2 linked regions of the Rattus norvegicus genome follow. The protein of the gene in region 2 interacts with the protein of the main gene of each other region in a pairwise test. Links are inferred from orthologs where the notes say so. Each region holds a gene or a part of one and is shown on either strand. Other genes may lie near its edges. The genes, in order: Pdcd7 and Fez1.

Region 1 (2,936 bases), about 30 Mb from region 2:
AATGTGATATGCCAGAAAACTCCTTCCCAAGATTTAGAAATTGCTGGAATGTGGAAGAAGTCTCTAGTATTTCAAGCCATTTTTCTAGACCCCTAAAATGTTGGAGCCTAAAAAACAAAGAAATGCTTCTAGGCAACAAGTTTACACTGCATGGGACATCCAGTCATTGACTTCTCAAAAGACTGCATGCGGAAAAGCAGCTGTTGTCACAGCCTGGACAGCTGAGAATCACCCAACTCCTAAGTAGCTAGTTCAGTTGAGAGCATTATGCTCAAACTGCAGGCACACAGGGGTCAGCATGGGCCTTCACCTCCATGGGCAACCATTCAGGAAAAATCTTTTCCTGGATTGACTCAGCACTAAAAGAGAATTAAGAAAACAAGGCCAGCTATGCTGATGCAGTCCTTAAATTCCAGCATCGAGGTGGAGGCAAGTAGATCTCTGAATTCAAGGACATGATCTACAGGGCAATCAGCCACATTTCAGTTTCTTTACCCGTTCAATTGGAGACACTGACTTCCAAGAATTAATGAGGACTTTAAAAATACAGGTGGCACCCTTGAAACCTGGCAATACTGCGTACCCAAAAGGAACTTTTAAAAATAGAGACAGCAACAGACCTCAATGGTAGAAGTTCTTCATTAAGAGCTTCCTGTACCCAAGAAAAAGGGAGAGCAGAGGCTTCCCTTCTGACCTTATTTGAATGAGCGCAGGCAAGGAGTGCTCAGCCTGGAGGTAATACTGACGGAACGGCTCCAAGAGGTGAGCGAGTGGGAACTCATCTGAAAGAGAAAGGCACAACATGTCACCATGTTTGCTTGCTGTTAAGAGTGCACTCTCAAGGCAAGGTGACTGAGCCACTGATTATGACAATAAGATCACCCTCATCTCTGTACCCCTGACTTTCACCACACAGTTCAGAATCTCAACTTGTAGTCAGGTCTTCCTTCTGGCTTAAGTTGGGTTACTTTCAAAAAAGAACTCTCAACTTAGATCTTTCCTCATCTCTACTGGCAAAGATAAGATTACCTGGATCCCCGAATAACTTGGACTCGATTTCACGTTTCTGAAGTAGAAGTTTCTCTTTCTCTTTTCTCTGTTTCTTTTCCAGTTCTCTTCTCCTCTCTTCCTCCTGTTCTCCTTCTAGCATAACTCGGAGGGCTCTCTCTTCAGCTTCATACAATTCAGAGCGCTTTTTAATGAGCTTCCTCAGCCGCTGAAGGTGGTGCTCAAAGGTCTCATCTGCTGCCGCAGGAGGACAGACCCCTGTACAAAGACAAGCAGATGGGTGGTCCTTTGCTCTTACACTCCTAGCAGTAGGAGGCGGAGCAAGTACTTGCCATGTGCTTCACACACACCCACTACAGTGTGACACTAGCTGTGGGCAGAACTAGTGTCACTCCCTTCACAGAGTGACCTACGTTCTCAGGGAGGACAACCATCTGCCACATTCCAGAAGAAGCAGAATTTGCACCTCCTCCAGGAGGCTACCTTTTCCTTCTCTCTCTCCAGCCTACTTTGGTTTCTTTACTGACCTTCACTTTGACATTCCCAAACATTTGTCTTTCTGGCCCTCACTCATCTCATTCCAGCTCATGCTACTTGCTAATGAACTAACTCATTGTGTGTGTGTGTGTGTGTGTGTGTGTGTGTGTGTGTGTGTGTGTGTGTGTGTATGTGTGTGTGTTGTGTGAGACATGGGGGGGGGGCATGTGCACAGGTATGCATCCCATGCACACCAGTGTGAGAGTGTGAGACATCAGAGGACAACAGAGGTCCTGTTCTATTGCTCTTTATTTTTGTCCCTTGAAACAGGGTCTCTCAGTGCTAGAGAAATGGCTCAGCAGTTAAGAACATTGTCTACGAAAAACAAAACAAAAAAACAAAACAAAACAAAAAAAACCCATTGGCTACGTTTTCCAGAGGATCCAGATTCAATTCCCAGCACCCACATGGCAGTACACAACTGTTTGTGAAGGACTGAGGTAGCAAAATAAACTCCATTTTGTTCTTAAGACTCCATTTTAAGTTAACTTGCCCTTAGAGAGGCATTGGCCCCTTCCCTTGAAGTCTGAGAAAAACCATGAATGTCTCTGACAGCTGCAAAATAGACACAGCAGCTGCAGCTGGCTGATAACAACAGAGTCGGCTAAGGAAACCTAAGTCTTTCCCAGGTCAAGGTGCTCCTTTTTGATGTAGGCTCCCTCCTTGTAGTTTAACCAGATGCTGTAAACCAATTAGCTGAAAGACCAACATTCCTTTACCCTCTCATGTAATGCCAGGACTTGGAAACCCTCACTTGCATTTTTTTCTTTATAAACTCCCTTCACTTAGACCTGGGGCACTCTTCCCCCTGTTCCAGCAGGAAGGTTGGTGGCCCAAGCTCAAGCTTGGCTAAAGACCCTCATGTTTATATCGGTGCTGTGATTTCTGGTGGTCTCTTTGGGGTTTTTACAATCTAGACACAACATTTGTAACTCCAGTTCTAGAGGATTTAACACTCTAATACAGACATACATGCAGGGAACACACCAATTCATGTATACAAATAAATAAAGTCATTGAGGGGTTGGGGGTACAATTAGGCTTCCCAGTAGCCAGGAGAAAAACAGAGGCAGGAGGGTCTCTATGAGTTCAAGGCTAGTCTAGTCTACACAGTGAGTTCCAGGTCAGCCAGGGCTACACAGCAAGATAAGACCTGTCTCAAAACGAAAAAAAAAAAGAAGAACCAGGATCTCCCCCTGAACCCGGAGCTAGGCTGGCATCTAGCAAGCCCCATCCACCCTCCTAAGCACGGCCGTGCCCCCCATTCTGGGACTACATCTGGCCTTTTGCACGGGCATTGGGGATTCAAGTGCAGGTATTCTTACACTAATCACCTCCCTGACCCCTTACTGATCAACTCTCATCCAGGATAGACTGCAAGTCCCTTAAAA
Region 2 (3,822 bases):
ATATAGAAATCTGACCAGATGGATGGACCTTGAAGTTAAAATTCCTGATTCTCAAGGACATGGTGTGTATGGATGTTGGCAAGACCTGTTTGCTGCAAACTCTGCTTTTGTCCTCGAGATGGATGAAAAGGAAGTATTTCTTCACTCTTAACTTGGGAATGGGGTACGGTAAGGGGATATTTGTCTTCCTAGTATTAGTAGAAGCCCCCTTCCTTTAACCTGACCAATAGCCCTGCACTGGCCCATCCTCTCCAGGGCATCCACAGTGTACTGAGCAGCCTTGTAAGCTGTCATTCAGCAGGCCCAGTTGCCTGGAAAATGGGATTTCTATCTGATCCACTGAGCATGTCACCAAGTCTTAGTCTAAGATTTTCCTCCTCCCAAGAGTGCCCAGAGGACACTGCTACTTGAAGCTGGCCTTTTGAACGTTGCACTATTTCATACATTCATAGATAGATGGATTCTGCCTACGAGAAGCATTTTATTACATGTTGCTTCTTCTCCCTGCAGTTCAGAATGTGTATTAATACGGATCAAAGCAGCTAAACTGGAGAGGCAGTCACTTCCTGGAGAGAAAACCAGACTCCATTCTTTCCAAGCAGCCTGGCCCCACCCAAAAAGCCTTGCTTCACATTAAAAGGACAGCAGGACGGACAGCAGGGCCCACCAACAGCTCTCTGCTCTAAGGGACCTAGGTATGGGCAGCCCAAGTGGAGAAGGCAAAGACCAGGGAGCTGTAGGGAAAACAGAAAACTCTGCCCCATCCCTCTAGTACCTTCCTACCCTTTAAAAAAAAACAAAAAACAACCTGGGTGTCACAGCAGAGTATTTTTAATTGCGCCTCATTGAAGAGGATACGATATGCAGAAATGTTTGCCCTATGCAAAGCCATCCTAAAGAAACTGAATCTGGGAAGTGAGAACAGGAGGCGCACAGGCGAGGAGGGACGGCAACTTAGGCCTGAGGCTGAGGAGGAGGAACTCACTGTTTGTCAGCATCTGCAGGTCTTCCACAGAGGGAGGAGAAGATTTCTTCTCATAAGGGATGACTGTGTTCAGGTACTGCCAAGACAAACAGGGCATGCAGACTGTGAGTCATGGTCCCTCTTGGGTGGAGGCACAGTGGGCAACCTGAACCTGGACCTAACTTTCCATCATATTCTGGACAATGCTCTCCATCCGTAGAACGCTGTTACTCTAGAACCTTCTTCCACCTCTTTACGTGTATCTCTAAAGTAGGCTTTCCTGTATTCAGTGGGGGAAACTTCCACTACCCCAACTGATGCATTCTTAATATGCTAAAGTCCTTTTGGTTCTCAGAATCCTAGGAGTGTTTCTCCTCCTGGGTGAGAGCTGGGGCAGTGTGTACAGTTGAATTCTTCACAGTGCAATTTGGGAAGAAATTAGTTCTCTCTTGTCAAAATGACATATCTACCTGAGATCTTGATTGTAAAATTTGCTCCCTCTTACAACAAAGCAAACCTCGAGGTGCCCAGCCAGTAGGCATCAAAGACCAGTAGGCCAAGAGATCTTGTCAGGCTCCTAGGGAGTCCTAGGTGATAACAGGCCCAAGGTCAACAGGCCCTGTTAGCCACGGTGAAGATACAGACAGCTACTCTATGATTCTGGGCCTCAGTTCTCCCAGGACCAGTGAGGGCTGGTTAGATGTTCCTAGTTTTCCTAGGCTATGGTCATACAGCTGTAACCCTTAGGATTCAGCCTTGATCACTAAAACAGCATATATACTTCTCCATCGTTTATTCCACATTTTCAAAGTTGGCAGTGCACACACTGTGCCTGTACACACCGTGCACATACTGCCAAGTCTACTAGATTTTGTACTCCATGAGGGGAGGCCCAGGACCTCTCACTTCTGTACCTGGAGGACCTAGCAGCAGATCACAGCACATAACAGGCAGTTGTCAAACTCTGCCGTAACAACCCAAAGTGCAAGCCACATCACAGATGCTGTAGTTTGAATGTAATGTGTCTTCGAAAGGTTTGTATGCAAAGCCTTGTTCCCCAGGGTCATGGTCCTGGGATGCACTATGGTCCTTTAAGAGGCCTTATGCTGGCCCTTAAAGGATATTGAATATTCTTTCTTGACTTCTTATGTGTCCCACCCCATTCTGTCTCTCTCTTTTCTGTCAAGTTTGACATGGGACTCCTTGTGACTACAAACACATCCACATGATGTCACCATACCAAATGCCAAACTGGTAAGGACACCCAATAAAAATAAATTGGTAAAACTTTGTTTTGTTTTTTTTTTTAAGATTTATTTATTTATATGTAAGTACACTGTAACTATCTTCAGACACACCAGAAGAGGGCATCAGATCTCATTGCAGGTGGTTATGAGCCACCATGTGGTTGCTGGGATTTGAACTCAGGACCTCTGGAAGAGCAGTCAGTGCTCTTAACCACTAAACCGTCTCTCCAGCCCAAGTTTGTTCTTTCTAAAGTTAATTGCTCTGGGTATTTCATCATAGTACTTCAAAGCTGACTGCAAGTTACTGTCAAAATGAAGGCTAGAGAGTGCCACAGCGTGACTTAGACTTACAGAGTTGGAGGTTGAACAGGCAAATATTGGTGGCACAGGCTCAGCTGGCCATCAAAAAGACAGAGTTGAGTAGTCTCTAAGATGTGTTCTGTTCTGAAACAGATCCCCCAGTGCACTTTATTCTTAAAGCAAACTAATTCATAGGTCTACATTTGATGTGGAGTTTTAAGTTTTATCCTTGTCCCGGGATAAAAGACCTAAAACAAAATAACAACAACAACAAAATGACCTTTGAAAGACTTTACCTATGTCTTCCTGACAAATAAAAGAAAATGTTAGGGAACCTCATGCTGGCCCAGATTTTGGGATAACTCTGTTGACTCTCATCTCTGGTGAGGAAATGAGCCGTCTGGAGGAATAAAGGAGCTATCGGGCTGCACATACCTGTCTGTCAGCTCCTGAGGAGCCAAAGGTCTGGCGGATGCCACTCTGCAGGATGTTGGAGATGCCCTCCATGCTGAAACGCTAAGGAAGAAATACACTCAGGATGGGCACAGACTTCCTGCCCCAATGTTACCACCCCAGGGACTTCTGTGTCCTTGCTCAAATGCTCATCAGCTGTCACACTGCCCTCGGTAATTGGCAGATGCGCAGAGAAGCCAAAATTCAAGCAAGAATGGGTAGCAGTCTTAGAGACTCATTTGGGTAAGTCCCTCAAGGTTATAAGACCCTTTTGTCATCCCCAGACTTCCTCATTTTATCCTGTATCCTGCAAAGAGAAAAATTAGACAGGACAGCTCGATTCTGGGGAACTAAGATGCAAAGATCTTAGTAAAATAGATGATGAAGTTTTCAGGAAGTGTAGGTTCCAGAAGTGGTCTGGTGCGGGAAAACTTTTCTTCAAGAGGCATGTGGCCCTGGCCTAATTCAATAGATCTGTACTAGAGTTAGGCAAGGGTGCACTGAAAAAGTCGATTAGATAATACTATGGACTTCATTCTATCAAGAACCTATAAGCTATCTGGTCACCTTTTAGCCATTCACATAGTCCAGCAATACCCTACACCTGCCCCAAAGAGACCAGACCAGACAATAACCCACACCAATGGTAGAGATACAGACCCTGGTTTATTTTTTCAAGGACCAGCCTGGAGAACTCAGGTCATAGCTAATTATTTTTTAACCTTTATTCAGTATGTTCTCGCTCAGACCAGAGACCTTCTGGGAAATCAGGGAGAAAAGCAGCATTCCCTCCCTTCCTGACCCCACTGCCTGTCACAGGTTCTGTGACTGTAACTGTTTAGGGGTTCAGTGGAGGGG

Evidence for each region.
Region 1: the proteins of Fez1 (region 2) and Pdcd7 interact in a two-hybrid assay, tested with the Homo sapiens proteins (2 studies listed by BioGRID and IntAct). The link is inferred for Rattus norvegicus from reciprocal best matches to the Homo sapiens genes FEZ1 and PDCD7.

The regions. Positions count from the first base shown.
Region 1 is NC_086026.1:74,767,454-74,770,389, reverse strand, and holds part of Pdcd7 (programmed cell death protein 7), read right to left. Parts: intron 1,267-2,936; coding exon 1,030-1,266; intron 783-1,029; coding exon 695-782; intron 1-694. UniProt on the Homo sapiens protein: Promotes apoptosis when overexpressed.
Region 2 is NC_086026.1:44,767,576-44,771,397, reverse strand, and holds part of Fez1 (fasciculation and elongation protein zeta-1), read right to left. Parts: intron 3,028-3,822; coding exon 2,947-3,027; intron 1,062-2,946; coding exon 986-1,061; coding exon of another isoform or gene 894-985; exon of another isoform or gene 814-893; intron 1-813. UniProt on the Homo sapiens protein: May be involved in axonal outgrowth as component of the network of molecules that regulate cellular morphology and axon guidance machinery.